2 linked regions of the Coturnix japonica genome follow. Each later gene encodes a partner of the first gene's protein in a complex. Links are inferred from orthologs where the notes say so. Each region holds a gene or a part of one and is shown on either strand. Other genes may lie near its edges. The genes, in order: ACVR2B and GDF2.

Evidence for each region.
Region 2: the proteins of ACVR2B (region 1) and GDF2 are in contact, whole or in part, in a crystal structure (PDB 4FAO), measured with the Homo sapiens proteins. The link is inferred for Coturnix japonica from reciprocal best matches to the Homo sapiens genes ACVR2B and GDF2. Residues at the interface, in NP_001097.2 of Homo sapiens: Asn35, Glu39, Cys49, Glu50, Glu52, Lys55, Leu57, Tyr60, Ser62, Arg64, Val73, Lys74, Cys77, Trp78, Leu79, Asp81, Phe82, Asn83, Glu94, Gln98, Val99, Phe101; in NP_057288.1 of Homo sapiens: Arg333, Ile346, Ala347, Pro348, Lys349, Glu350, Tyr351, Glu352, Lys397, Ser399, Pro400, Ile401, Ser402, Val403, Leu404, Lys406, Gly410, Val411, Pro412, Thr413, Leu414, Tyr416, His417.

The regions. Positions count from the first base shown.
Region 1 is NC_029517.1:5,163,854-5,171,970, forward strand, and holds the start of ACVR2B (activin receptor type-2B), read right to left. Parts: upstream 5,393-8,117; 5' UTR 4,966-5,392; coding exon 4,914-4,965; intron 1-4,913. UniProt on the Homo sapiens protein: Transmembrane serine/threonine kinase activin type-2 receptor forming an activin receptor complex with activin type-1 serine/threonine kinase receptors (ACVR1, ACVR1B or ACVR1c).
Region 2 is NC_029521.1:15,464,293-15,471,870, forward strand, and holds the end of GDF2 (growth/differentiation factor 2), read right to left. Parts: intron 6,214-7,578; coding exon 5,276-6,213; 3' UTR 3,173-5,275; downstream 1-3,172. UniProt on the Homo sapiens protein: Potent circulating inhibitor of angiogenesis. Signals through the type I activin receptor ACVRL1 but not other Alks. Signaling through SMAD1 in endothelial cells requires TGF-beta coreceptor endoglin/ENG.

The sequences.
Region 1 (8,117 bases):
TTTCTCCAGACTGAACAACCCCATCTCCCTCATCAAACTTCTGCTCCAGACCCCTCAGTTTATCAACTTCTGCAACTTTTACTGCGCAGTTATTATGCTGAGATAAAAATAATGCTCCTAAAGCACGTTGGGTTTTGAGGTGTTGGATTCTGGCAGGCCTGAGAGATGCAGTGCTGATGGAGTGCCACCTAATCATGATTCTACTCTAGTGTGTCTCCAGGTGTGTACTGCTATTAGCAGGATGTTTTACACATACTTCTACAACTCAGCCCTGAAATGTGACAGTCAAAACACTTGTCACTCCAGCACCTAGAAGCACAGCAACTTTGACTTCTTCCATTTATTTATTTATTTATTTGTAGATCTCACTTTCCTGATGTCCAGGCTTCCTATGAGCAACACCACGTGCACAGAGCACACAAGGCCACCTTCCTGGAATCATAAAGGCTGGAAAATACTGCTAAAATCATCCAGCCCAACCACCAACTCTTCACCACTACACCCATGCAGCAATTGGACAGAAAGAGATGATGGGAAATGGTGTTTCACTGGAGGTATATAATGAGGGAAGGATCAGCACGATAGAAAAGTGATATAAAAGAAGGGAAGAAGATTGCTCATCTATATCAGAAGGTCACAGGTTTGCAGGGAAAAGTTTCACCAGGGAGGGATCTCCAGGAAGAGATCCTTCCTCAGTAGCAGTCAGCCCTGAAAAGAGGTCTAAGAGAGGTGCAGCCAAGGCTCCACCCTTTCCAGTGACACAGGTGAATTGCCTTCACCTGTGCTCTCAGGGCTGACCCAGTCCTTTCCCAGGTGCTCAATCATTCAGGCCACAAATCAACAGTTCCCATTCAGCCTGCTGCCCCACATATCTTAGTGCTGCATCCACCTTCTCACTGGGTGCCCAGCATCAAACCTCCCTGCTGTCCCCTTAGGTCTCAATCAGTTAAAACAAGGATACTGGTTCCTTCTCACCCACAACACTTCTGTGGGGAACCCAGCCCCGGCAAGCCCCAGCACTGTCACCAGCTGCCACCCATCCATCCACAGAACGAATCACAGAACCATAGAATGGCCCAGGTTGAAAAGGACTTCAATGCTCATCTGGATTCAACCCCCTGCTATGTGCAGGGTCACCAACCAGCAGCCCAGGCTGCCCAGTGCCACATCCAGCCTGGCCTTGAATGCCTCCAGGAATGGGGCATCCACAGCCTCCTTGGACAACCTGCTCCATGGCACTGCACTGGTCCCTGCTGGCATGGGGAGTGCCGGGGAGTGGAAGATAGTAGGGGGAGAAAGGACAAATAAATAAAAAGAAGGAAAAAAAAGTATTAAAAAACAAACAAACAAAACCCCACAAATCAGGCTGGTCAGTTTCTTTCTTTCTTCTCCAGCATCTATTCAGAGGCAGCAGGGGAGGTCTACAACTGTTGCGTCACGCCAAGCACAAAAAAACCTGACAAGCGTGTTTGAGCTGATGGAGAGCAGACTGGACAGGAGGTTGGTGACAGCTTTAACACAGGGAGCAGGAGCTCACTGCTTTAATTGGCCAAGGATGGGCTGCTCAGAGCCACGAGAAATGGCAGAAATTTCAGTGTGTAAATACTTCATCTCCTTCTGGTCCATGGATCTGGAATCTGTGATCAGCACTGAGGGCAGAGCGCAGAAGATGCTCTGAAATGGGGAAGGAGGGGGAGGAGGAGGGGGGATTGCGCTGTATGAATAACACCCCTGAAAATAATGCCTACTCGCATCTTTACCGCAGCATTTTCTTCTCCACGGAGCTGTGACAATGGTTATCTCTGTGGTATAATTATCTGGATTTGATGACAGATTAAAAAAAAATATATAGATCCCAACACCTGTTCAAGAGTTTTGTGTTTTTAAAGGCCATCGCCATTAACCTTGGGCCACGCACTTCATTGTGTTTAATTAGCAAGCTAATGAAGCCAGTTTTATTCCCTTTCTCAAGCACAAGAGGATAAGTACAAGACAGTGAAAGAGCAGGGCAGATCCATTTGCAGCACAGTTCATTGCTGCACGGCATTACTTAAACTTGCACCAAAATAAAAGTAATGTAATGGCTCGGAAAAGCGCCTTAGCAATGCATTCTGCAAGACAAATCCTTTTACACCTTCTGTATTTTCTACAGCTCCGAGATTCAAACACGATTTGGGAACATTTGGGCTGCAGAAAATTTGCAAACAAAGGGCTAAAAATGAACATAATGTTTTCCTCAATGAATCCTCAGTATTCCAAAAAAAAAAAAAAAAAAAAAAAATTAAGCGTAACAGATTTCTTTCCTTTATGTTTTTGTGGGTTTTTTGACTTATTTCTTTATTTAGATCAAAGAAGAGCGGGCTGCGCTGGCTTTGTCATGGGCAGCCAAGGGAGCACCAACAATGGAGGTCAAAGTGGATTTCGAAAAGCCCACCACTTTTGCACAGCCCTATATACACACACATACACACACACACACAAAGCCTGGCTGTGCAACCCAACAACATGCTCCAACCTGGGGCACAGCGACTCGGTGCCTTTCTTCTTAATTTAGGAAAGGGAAAACCGGACAACGAGGATCGTGTCAATAAATGCTGGTCGATAGCACAAGAAATGCAGAAAGGGCTTTAAAAGAGAGGGAGGGGTTTAGGGAATTGCTCCAGCTCTGATTGAGTGATCCGAGGGGATCCTTCCAAACAAACTGAATTGCGATCGTTTTCGGGGCTTTCTTTATCATATTTTTGGGGGCTGGTCAGTGTAGGTATGCTCCATCACATTATCCTTTTTATAACCTGATCTATTTAGGAACCTTTAGGGGTTAGTTATTATTTTTTGCCATCAACCACTTTTCTCCTCCAACTCCGATCTCCTCACAGCCATAGGAACGTGCTGAAAAAACCAACCCCAACCCAACCAACCAACCCAACCCACCCCAAACAACAACAAACCAGCCAACCCGGAAGCCATCCCTTGTATCGAACCACACCAGATGAAAGGATTCCGAGACCTACAGAAAGAAAACACATCGTCCATCCACCTCTTTGCTGCACGTAATAGAATCCTGCAGCCGGGAGAGCGCCTTCCCGGTACCTGCTACGTAAATACCCTCACCCCCATTCCATGCACATGGAAACAAAGCTGCACACAAGTGTCCCAGCGATGCGATAAAACCCCGAGCTGCCTTCGCTACCCGCTAATAAATTAACGTGATCTTTCATTTTTTAACCCCCTCCTTTCGCCTTTCCCACCCTCCTTCCAGGTTTCGGCGCGCCTTAAGAAATAAAGCCATAACGACGCTGATAATGACAATTAAGCGGCGTGGCACCGCTCGCCGTGCCACAGTCAGGCGGTGGCAGCGCATATTTAATGGGCACTCGGAACAAAGGAAGCGGCAGCGGGAGCGCCCCGGGGCCGGCACCGCTCCCCCCGCGGGTGAGAGCCGAACCGGGGGGCGTGGGGTGGGTGAGGGGCACGAGGAACCCCCACCCCCCCTTTCCCTCCCTGCCCCCAAATCCTTCTTTGCTATAGGATGGAGGGGAACTCCCCGCTCCGCGATGGGCACGGCCGCAGCATCGCTGCCTCCCACCCACACGCTGCACCCGCTCAGCCTCAAAGGTGCTCCCCTCACCCCACCCCCCCCCCCAATATACGTATCCCCCTTATATGTGTGTCCCCCCGCCCACCATTACATATTTTATATATATATGCCTCCCCCATCCCTGCTTATGTGACCCCCCTGGGGCTGCAGGGAACGTAACAAGTTACTGCCCAGCACCCAGGTTAATGAGGGGGGTCTGTACAGGGATCAAGGTGGGGTGGCCGGAAGGGGGGGGGGGGGGCACAACAAATAGCCGTTGCCCATGAAGAATATACAGCAGTCATAAACAATAAATAAAATAAGAGGAGGGGGAAACGGGGGGAGGAGAGGGGGTAAAGGGGCTTCAAGCGTGGCCGTGCTTGCAGTTGTTATTAGGATGTGTGGGCGGGGGGGCTTACAGGGTTCTGCCCCTTCCCCCAGAGGGCTACGGGATGCTCTCCTCTCTCCCAGCTGCGTTGCACCCCCCCCCGCCCCCACGGCCGCTTCGGAACTTCACCCCTTGCCCCCCCCCCCCCCCCCCCCCGGCTGAATCTGGGGGCAAAGCGGTTCGATTAAGGCAGAATTAATCCAATGAATTAAAATGAATGAAAACACAACTAACGCTTTTAGTCCCCCCCTCCCCCCCCGCCCCCTCAATGCAACAGAAACCCCTCTTGCATGGATGCTCCCCACCACCACCAACACACACACCCCCTTTTGCCCAACTTTCTCCCAGCAGCGCCGAGCAGCCCCATGGGGCTCGGTTGGTGCAAACAAGCAAAGCCCTGTAGGGCTGAGGGGAAGGGTGGGGGGTCCCCATGTGGTTTCTTTTAGAGGGGAGGGGGTCTTCCCCCAGGGTTAAGCTCCCCGGTAGGAACGGGGCGCACACACACACACGCGCGGCCCCAATACCTGAGCGGAGCCACCCCCGGCTCCCCAACTTCTGTGTGTGTGTACCCCACTCTCCCACCCTTTCCAGCCCTCCCCCACGAGTCAATGCCCATCGCCTCAAAGTTTCCTCGATCTCTCGCCGTGTTTACATCGCCGCTAATTCCCACCGGCAGCGAAGGGAACAAAAAAAAAAAGCGGCGGCAGCACGGCAAGGCTCCGTCCTGCCAGCACAGAGCTCGGGGAAAAAGGGGGGAGGTGAGAGGGGGAAGGGGGCTAAGAAAACAACCATATCAAAGCTTTGGGAGGGGGGGAGGAGGGAAGGGGTTCAACCCGACGGGTCTGGGGGTTCCGCTCCGCTTTTAAGGCTGTTCAGAACCTCACCGGCCCATTCAATGGTGAGGTCGGGAAGCCGAGCGTAGAGGTAAACACGGCGGAACGCGCTTACCTGCGCCCAAAGTTGCACAGAGCACGGCCAAAGTCAGCCACGAAGCGCTCATATTCCTTCACTCGGTGTGGTTTTGCGTTTTGGTTTTTGTTTGTTTGTTTCTCTCTGTCTCTCTCTCTCTCCTCGCGTGCCCCTCTTTCCCAAGGGGAAATATAAAACGTATTCAAAATAAAGAGCTGGAAGCAGAGGGGGAAAAGGAGGAGGGAAACGACGCGGTGCTTCTTCTCGAGAAAAAATAAAAATAAAAATATATATACACATATAAAGAAAAATAAAGAAAAATAAATGAGGGGGGAAAAAAAAAATCCTGAAAAATTGGATTTAATTCCTTCGCAGTTGCAAAATGTATCCAGTGGAGAGGAAGAGCCCGACCCGCTCCGCCCGGCCCCGCCGCTCGCTCCGCGCTTTCCAAGAGTTTCTTTTCGCTGCGCTTTTGTGCTGGGAGCGCGGCGTGCACCGCACACCGCCTCCCCCCCACTCCTCCTCCTCCTCCTCCTCCTCCTCCTCCTCCTCTCTTCTCCTCCTCCTCCCAACCCAACCCAGCCCCTCCGGCTCCCCCAGCAGTAAAGGCCGAGCGCACACGCCCCCCTCCGCTCGGCTTTCCGCGCAATTCACGCGCAACGCACAGCCACCCGTTTCTCTTTATTATTATTATTTCCCTCTATATATTCTTTGTGTTTCCCTCCTCCCCCCCCCCCCCCCCCCTCCTTTTTTATTTTCCCTTCCCCCACCCTATAAACCTCCCCCCTGAAGGAGAAACTTTGCGAGGGGATCCGCGTCCAGGCAAGAGCCCGAGGAGGGGGCGCGGGGCGCGGCATCGCGAAGGAGGAGAGAGATTGGGGCGGGGAGTTCAATTAAAAATCAATTAATAAATTGGGAGGGGGGGCAAAAAAATATATATATCGGGGAAGGGGGTTAGAAAAGGTGATTTTTTATTTTTTTTTTTTATTATTAGGAAAAAAAAAAAAAAAACTGAACCGAGTCCAAAATGGCTTCTAAAAAAAAAAAAAGAGAGAGAGAGAGAGAAGCCAAAGCGGAGCCAGCGAGGGGGAAACCCGGATGTTTGATACAAAGAGGGTTGGAGGGGGGCGGAGCGGAGCGGGGGCTCCGCTGTTCTGAATGGGGCGCGGCGCTGCCCGTCAACCCCGCGGAGCTCCGCGCACCGCCCGCGGCTCCTGCAACCGCGCTGCGCCGGGAGGTGCGGGGCTGGGGGTGCGTGGGGAGCCCCTGCGATGTCCTTGTTAGGGCCCTTGTGCTGTTAGCGGGCTTCTCTCCATCGCCAGCGCTGCGGATGCTGAGCTCCGCCCGCGATTTATTGCAATTATAATGAGGATCGTGCGAAAATAGGGAGCCCGGAGGGGTCTTAAGGGGGAAGAGGGGTGGAGAAACTGGATGGTCAGCTTGGGTGCCCGAAGCTCTGGGGAAATGGAAATCGTTCTCTGCAAACTTTAGAAGCGCTTTGCTCCGTGGAGAAATTCGGGTGGTTTGGGTGTTTGGTTTTTTTTCACCTTTGGGAAACAACTTCACCTTAGAGAGAGGTTGTAACCTCTGGGAAGGTGGTTTTTGTGTATGTATAACAGCCATGGAATGTGCTCTGTGCTGTGAGCAGGATCCCATGTGGAGCTGCTGGGAACTGATGGCCGATATCCTTCATGCTGCCATGCCTCGGAAAGGGAGGGCACCCACAGAACCTTACATACATGGCATGGGGAGGTCATGGGGACTTTGCAGCCAGTACAGCTGCAGGAAAGCATCCAAAATAATACAAATATGGAGCAAAATGCACTGAAACCAAAGCCCACGGGGAGTCAGGAGAAAGCAAGGTGTGTCGTGGCACCTGGGTAAGTTAAAGCGCGGCTGGGAAATGAGATGGAGATGTGTTTGTGAGAGGTCAGAGCTGGGGGTTGATCCCTGCTCCTTGCATTGACGCAGTGTGCTCATGGAGGCAGTGGGGTCACTGACCATGGAGGACCTCAAGAACCATGGAGATGTGGCCCTGGGGGACATAGTGGGCATGGTGGGATGGGTTGGTGGTTGGACCAGATGATCTTAGAGGTCTTTCGGTCCTTAATGGTTCTGTCATTCTGTGATTCTGTGACTGCACACAAGTGCAGTGGGGCTGGACATGGGGGCAATGGAGAGAGAAGGGCTCCTGGCTGAAGCTCAGGGAGTGTCACAGCTTCAAGAGAAGAAAAAACATGAGCCAACATCTCCTACTGGGCCACTTGTTTCATTGGAGGATAAACTCTGAAGCAGCTGAAGAACAGAGAAATGGGTGAGACAGTAAAATATAAACATGCTGACACCCATCAGCGTCCATCCTTCGTCTTCAGCTCTGACCAAGAGCAATGCAGCCCTCCAATCAGGCTCCCCAAGCGCTCCCTACCAGCACTGCTCCTGTTCTCAATCACAGCACCATAATGGAGCCCCTTTCCCAGCACCTCATATAGCCCCCAAGGTGAGTTTTGCCCCCTTGTAAGCAGTCCCCCTGATTGTCCTTTATCCCCTGAGCACCTGGGCGGCAGCCCGCCTTGCTTACATTGTTTCACAGGGGGGTGTTAACCCACCTGAAATGCTAAAATGTTGTCACCTCTTGCAACGTGAAAGGGTATGGCGGGTGGGAATGTTACAGCCTGGGCACGTGGACACTTGAAAACTTGCACCAACCATCCGGAATATTGGCAATGGGGCTGCAGGGGTTTAGCGATTAGGGTTAAGGTTAGGTGCCATCATCGCACGTCGCGGTCTGAAAGCCCTCTGAAAGCCATCTATCCAGGATGGTTTTGTGCTGCTCACAGTCATATGACACTCAATCTTTGTCGTGTGACGGGTTGGAACAAGTGGGCTCCGTGCATCCCAATATCTTGCATGGGAGGTGCTGGTGATGAAGGTACTGGGATCACTTAAGCCGGCACAGAGCTGCGCTGCTTGCGTGTCATTTATCTTCAAATCCTATTGTAGCGCTGGTGAGATGTAATTTCTGCAGTGAATGGCAATGTATGCTGACAGGGGTGTTATAAACATGGAAAATACAGAGGGAAGGGACCCAGCGTTTCCTTTACCTCCTCCTGTATACGCTGATGTGGATTTATTTTGCATGTTGCAGGGCAATGATGCAACCGCTCTGATCGCTCTGCAGCCTTGTGAAGCAAAACCCACATTGCCTGCAACAAGTGAGGAGCACAGACTGAGGGACCCGAGGCA
Region 2 (7,578 bases), on another chromosome or scaffold:
GGAAAAAAAAATAAAAAATGGGAGAAGACAGGTCATGATTCAATTAAAAGATTGAGGAATTGCTTGCAATGTACATTTCCATTATCTCTGTTTTCAGCCAGGATTCATGATGCAACCAGAAACAGGTGGAAAGCCATCACATTCATAGTTTAACTGTAATAAACTCACACTGTGCAGCTCTACTGAACTGCCATATTCTGGATAAGCAGAAGGTTCAGGAGGTCTTGAGAAAAATGCTTTGCTGCTACCCAGCCTCAGCTAGTTTAGTCGTGTAGTTTCGCATTTTGGTAATTAGTTTTTCAACAGATTTAAGGAATTGATCTTCAGTCTTTAGAGAATTAATGTATTATGTGCTTATACTATATGGTGTGTATCCTGTAGATTTATTTCCATTTCTAATTTTATTTTATTTTTTTCCCAGAACGCTGCACCAAAACAGTGTTAGCCAATAGTAAGAAGTGAATATTAAATATTTCATCAGCAGACCTCCTATCCTTATTATTTGAAAAGGTGAAAACTCCAGTAACACGCAGAAGCCTATGTTAAGCTGCCAGGTACTACAAACAGCTGTCACCAAGCTAAATCCTAGACACTGTGCTGCTGATGGCACGCCAGATCAAACATATCCTACCCATGCTATTCAACGTGCTGACATAGGATGCAAGTGCTCAGTATGTCCAGCCAGACTAACTATTGCCATTTTAAGCTATCTAGCTTGAAAGTGCTGTTCTCCACCACTATTTGCTCAAAAGCTTTGGTTACCAGCCTGGTACCAAGCCCTGGGCTGCTAGGCTGTTGCTTGCTTAGTGCTTCTGGTGTACTGGTCCAGCATCAAGGCTTGTGAGGACCAGCAGACAACCTATAGGACTCCAGCCAAAGCTTGCACCTCAGAAAGGGGCTGACTCACAGCACCTAATTTTCCATGCCTACACTAAGGCTTCACCTGATTTGTGACTGATGATCTAGAAGAGACTGGAAAGCAAGGTACAAGAAAGAAACAAGGCCATCTTGGCAGCAGTTAACCACAACTGTGAGGCAGCAGCTTGGCAGGATAACAGTGCTAAAGCAACCCAGCAGCTGCAGCCAGAGTAGAGACCAAGAACAAAACAGGCTGTGGGCAGCCCAAAGGGAGACTGGCATACAACTGACATTATATTTAAGACACCATGGTGGTGGGGCAGGGGAGGTAAGAAAGGCTCCTGACAGCCCAGAGATGCTGCTGAGGCAGTGCAAGACAAGATTTAGAGAAAACATTGTAGAGTGAAGAAATGCCCACAAGATGTTTTATAGGTCCCAGACAGACCTAGAGCAGCACAGAGGAAATCTGTGGCTCAGGCACCTCCAGCTTGATCTTCCTGCCCTGCAATGAGACAAACAGAGCTCTTTAAAGTGCCTTGCACTCCAGAAACTGCTGCAGAACCTACCCTGGTTTTGCTTATGCTAGAAACATAATAAACAGTAAGTTAGGGAGTTCAAATGGGTTAGAGGAAGGTAGTTGCTCTCAGATGCAGCCAAAGGAGAAGTAGAGCTCCTTTTAAGACATTTAAGGGTAAGGTCTTGTGTACAGTGACAATAACAAAAAGATGGCAGTAAACATCCAAAAGGTTCCTGTATGGTGACAATAACATAAAGATGGTAGTAAAAATTCAAAAGGTTATTTACAGGAAAAACTCACCTGTATGGAAGCCTTCGGTCTGCTGGGAAATTCTGAGGCAATCTTCACCAAGGAGCAATCTCAAAGAGATGCTTTGAGATTAGTGGCGGTCAGCCCTTAGATAAGGTCTAGAGGACTCCACCCCTTCTGGGAGTGCAGCTAAATTACTCTCACCTGTGCTCCTACAGCTGACCCAACACTTGCCTCAGCTAATTAATCAGAAGTTCAGGCTGTGATTATCAATTTCCCATACATCTTGCTTCACAGACATTGTTCATCTGCTATTTATTTGTTTTCTTAAGTTGTTCTATTCTGTTCTGTTCCATTCTTTGCAATAAGGGACTTAATTCAGTACTGCTTATGGGCAGCTACAGCGTGACATTAATTCCGCTTGCAGCTAACAGTGCAGCCAGCCCTATGCAGAACTCTGTGTTGCATAATTGTTGTGGCCATGTTCTGAGAAGGTTGGAGTAGATTCTGCTGTGACCCAGAAGCAGTGTTAGTTCTACTAGAGCACAATTGTGTCTGAAAGGATAAGCTGACTTTAAAGAGTCTAAAACCTGTTACTAAAATTTCAACAATCAGGAACTCTAGGTTAGCATTTCTGTATTGTCAGGTTATTTTCAGCAGAAAGGTATCTAAACAGAGATTAAGTGAATAGCTCCAGAATCTTGTGAGGCTATTGGCTCTTAACCCATACATACAATAGATAAACATACAGAATGGTATGATTAAGCGGCTATCAACAGATCACATAGCTAGAAACTATACAGTTGATGATTGTAATATTAAAGGGCTGTTATTACACAGCTAATGATCTTGAATATGTTGATGTACTTTAGCCTTGTGTTTATGTTAAACAAACAAGCTTTATTTTTAGCTGTATGTCCGCGCAAGCCTCAATATGCTCTGTTATAGCAGCATGCTACTGGTTAATGTTTATATTCTGGTGGTGAGAAAGTGTTTTTTAGTGTCTAATGAGGCCTGACTTCATGCAGGTAGGAAGGTGCTTTGCCCACCTAACTTTGTAACTTGTATATTTTCTAGTGCTTTTTGTTCACCTCGCTGATGCTTTGTGTTCCTAAGCAGCTGAAAAGATAGAGACTGTGACCAATTGTTTAAAATGAAATATTCAAAATGTAGGCAGCTAAATTTACAATGTAAAACCAAACATTGATTTGGCACATACTTCTGCTGTCCTGTAGGTAGCATTTGTAGTTGCTATCAGGTTCTCATTTTCTCTTGACCCTGTTCATTGCAGTGTGGAAAGATTCATGTTTTGGTTTATTTCTGTACCATCCAAAACAGTATGGCCTATGGGAGTATGATTGCTAGTGCTGGCTAAAGATGAAATTGATTTTTTATTGTTTTTTGGTTGAAGTACAAAAGAGACTTGTAGTACGGTTTTGAGAAAGTGTCTTAAGAGCTTTACTGAAGTTGATAGAATAGCTGGGATCTGAATTGAGCTAAAAGTGACTTCTTATATTCTCCTTCCCCACCACCCCCCCTTTTTTTTTCCCTCTGAGAAAATAATAGATTTTTGAGCAAATACATTTGTGAACATGTGAACATTGTGTGGACTAGTCTTTCTCCTTTTCCACTTTTTAATTTCATAATTCATAAAGTCCTGTGCTCAGTGAAGTCAGAATTACAGCCTAGAACCTTGTGTTTAGATGACTTGAGGGCAAACAGCTACAATTACCTTAACACATGAGTGAAAAAGAATTCTAATGTGATCACACCAGATGCTTGTTTAGTAGCTTCTTTTATGTGAAGAATAGAAGTTGTGCGAAATATTGTAAATCTCAGAGATGTCAATACAAAAGAGAGAGAAAACAGATTTCCAAAAGGAGGAAGATATAACAACTGTAAGATGACAGAAGCCAGTGGGGAGTAGTAAAATGAGAGGATGTCACATGAAACCTAAGAGGTTAATGACACTCAGCTATGGGTGGATAGAATTCTCATGGATCCAGACCTCAGATCTGATCCAATTGCAACCCTCTTCTAATGGAAGAGGCTGTAAATCAGCCACAGGATTCTGGTGAATCATGCTTTGTGCTCATGGGTTGTGATGTAACCAACAGTTCTTGAATTACAACAGCTCTGCTCACACTCACCTGCTGTGTATTCTGTATTAAGTTAACAATAGAAAATAAATTGCATATTAGATTTCAAGCTGAGCTGTTCATAGCAAATTAATTTGTCTTGCACACAAGCTGTCCTAATTTAAAACATCTGTATCCATTTAAATCATGTTGCTTCCATATATTAAGCTTCTTTTCATATTTTTGCTTCGTTAATTTTTAATATTTTGCATATATATGTAGTTTGCTGTGGATTTGAATCAAAAATGGTAGATTCTTTTTGGTGGAAGGTGGAATAGTAGAAATGGAGTGGAGTGTGTTGGCATTTCATGGCACTTTGAATTTGCACCTGAAACCAATGCAAAGCACTGTCTTATCTTGTACAGGCAAAACCTTCATTACAATCAAAGAAAGTTTTCCATAGTTGCAGGAAACATGGAGTTGTTTAGTGAAAATAGAAATAAAGATGGGAGAACTGTTGTATGGCAGTGAATTTCCCATAAAGTAGTGTAAGTGTCCCAGAACATAGAAAGGAGTTATCAATTGTTCCCAGACTTCTAAAGGGTGAAAGAATTTCATATGCAAAATAGTGTTTATCCTAAGAAAAGATAAAGAAATAGAGCCTGGAGTTAGACTCCGAAGAAATTTGTCAGGCCTCAAAAAATTGGCTTGTTTATTTCTTTTCACAAGTGCTGAGCACTGCCAACCCCCACAGCTGTCAGGGTACAGATCCTAAGACTGGATGTCATTTGACTGCATGTTCTTGCAAAGAAATACTAAGAATATGCAGTGGGTCAAAGTGGCTCCTTATCTTTGTGAGGAGATAAGGCCTGCTGCTCCTCCTAGGAAACAGTGTCTTAGAAGCGGAAGGCTGTACTTATCATTCAAGTATGTGCCATAAAAGGGTAAAAATAGGGACACTGAGGATAAGAAAGCTGAAACCAAGGCACCTGCTACCCACAGAAGGAAGCCTTGGAATCAAATGAGATGGAAAGTGTCATCTGTTTGGGAAATTAAAAAACACTTCACTTATATGAGTAAGTACTTTGCATTAAAATGACTTTAAATGTCTCTGAGATTACTGATGTGAGTAAAGATTTGCAGGATTTAGACTCACTGCTTTATCATGCAAACTAATTGCAATTCAGTTACTTCACAGAAGCTGGAAATAAGAACTGGCTGAGAGAGTTAAATTTCTAAGAGGCATAGAAACCTAGAGGACATCCTCAGTCCCAAAGGCTGCATGTGATCTGAAAAGAACTAGTTTAACAGAAAAATTCAAATAAGTTTTGTTTCTGTCACTCTAGCCAAATAATGCATAGTTCTTTCAATCTCACAACATTTTAATTAATATCATATAATGCAGGACATTTACACTGATGGACATTCTTTAAATGCCAGCTTTCCTTTAAAAGCAGCAACAACAACCAACCCCACACCATGCTCCAAACCTTGTTTGCAAGGATTTTCATTTGCATCACTAATGTACAGTTTCACAGACAGAAGTGTATTCTTCTTAGATATTCTGCATATACTACCTGCAGCCACATTCTGCCACTTTCATCCCTTCATAGTTATATATCAAAGTGGGTACACCAGCATCATCCTTATAAAGAATAGAGATTGAATCCAATTTAGTTGGAACACAACAGGCCTTAGAAGCTTTCTTAGGGTTTTGGAGATGCACTAGAGTCTGGACAATAGCATGTTTCGTTGGCGTAACATTATCTGTCAGAGGGAAGAAGCAACCTCCTTTACACTCAAAAGCCTCATAATCTTTGGGTGCAATGATCCAAGAATCCCAACCAATCTCTTTAAAGTTCACATGGAGTGAAGTTCTCCGACAGTGGTTTGCTCCAATGCTTCTCTTGCTTCTGGAGGAATGCTGATGGGGCCTAGCAATGGCTTTTTCCTCTTTCTGTTCTTCTTCAGATGAAGAGTTATTCTTTCCTAATTTGTTTAGCACATTTTCTTGTTCATGAACAATCATCTCCCGGAGCTCTGCTTTGGTCTCTTTTGTACCATTGCTGCGATCATTGGAGAACACTATTAAGAGGGGCAGATTCTTAGTGTCATGAGTAACACTAATATCCAGCTTCCCACAAGGGAAACCACCCAGAGCCTTACTCTCTATTACAACCTCTAGCTTGTTTTTAGTCTTCATCTTGTCTGCCTTAACCCATCTTTTCACAGCGCTGGACACTTCAAACATCTTCCAGCCACACTCCTGAATACTGTGGGAGACAAGAAAAGATTTGGTACCTTCCTTGTTTTCCCAATGGTCCCCGTCTAGAACATCATAAATGACCATGTTGCCTTCCGGTATGGAGGGAGACACAGCTTCCTCGTGACAGGAGATAAAGATTCTCAGTTCAGCTCTGGTGATTTCTTCATACCGTGGAATAGAGACGTTGAAGAACAAGATGTGTTTCTGAAATGGGTTTTCTTCTGGTGAAGTTAAAGAAACAACATCTACAATAGGAAATAAAAACTTATTGTTACAGTGCTCCTGACAGTCCAAATAACTTGCTTTTAAAAGGTGCGGGATGTGTTTTGTGAATAAAATATGACCACGGCTACCTAGCATTAAACAAACAATCAAAAAGAAACAGATACCATCTCCTGGCCAGGTTTCAAGGAGCAGGGAGTGAAAAGATAAAATGTAGTTCCTTGATGTTGGTAGCATTTTCACCAAGGCTGCATGCAGGTGAATGTCTGAAGCAGTGGAGGGGTAGCAGGAAGAGTCTTCCTAGAACAAGGTGCAGGTGGTGCTGTAGCAGGTACTCATCACTGGATGTTAAGTGTTAAGTTTAGCAATTTCCTGAAGAGATTTTACAGAAAGGATTCCTATAAAGAAAGGATTCCTATAAAAAACTTTTAGAATTCACCGCTCATAGTAGTGCAGTAGGATAAACTGCTCTCCTATTACAGAGAAGCATGGTATATATTTGTCTCTTTGAGAATTAATTCTGCTGGGGTTTTTGTTGTCTTCAAATAGCTTTGAAAGCAGTTTGTGTTATTGAGAGTTAGAGAACACAGAAAACATGTGAAAAACCTGAATCAAAGCTCAAGAGTCTGTTTAAATTAGGACTAGGTGATAAACAGTTCTTTGTGTTTAGGTATATTCCAGGCTTTTGTGAGCATTCATGGTGCTTTGGTGTTTTTTCTGCAAACGTGTAGAGCCAGCAACTCTGCCTTGGAAAGGGCAGATATTTTTGTGAGAGATCAGGTTGTTAGTGTTTTAAAGTCATCACTGAATGATATCTTTTTGGTCATCAGTTTAAGATAATTACTCAATTATCATTGTGTTTTAGGGCAATTCTAATTTGCTATTGTTGACCCATCTTCCCTCTAAAGCAGTCTGAGTGGAGAGTGGGGTGTGGGAACAAAAATCTAGTTCATACTGCTGAAGTTTCTTTCCATTTCAGGATTAAAGTCACTTATTTGGGAATCTGGAGATCCTCATAGTGTTGTTACCTGTATACAATCAATTTTTTTGTAAGAACAGATTCTTCCTGTCTCATTTCTATTCCAAAGACTGTACTTATAGCATTTTTCTTTTTTTTTAGTGTCTTGAGATGGAGCTTTCAACAATCTATTTATTGTTACACAGGTAGATCTGGACTTTTTTCAACTCAAGACAAGCCTGGCTACTACTTTCCATGTAAATCTTCCCATCTAAACCAGAATTTGGGGTGGGCACTTCTGGATCCTTGCTTGGATCGAGGCACAAATTTCTCAGTTGGCTATTGTGCTTAAGAATGACAGAAGCTTCCTAGAAAGAAGCGTCCTCTGTCATGAACGCCTGTGCTATAGGTGATCACATATTTGTTTTCT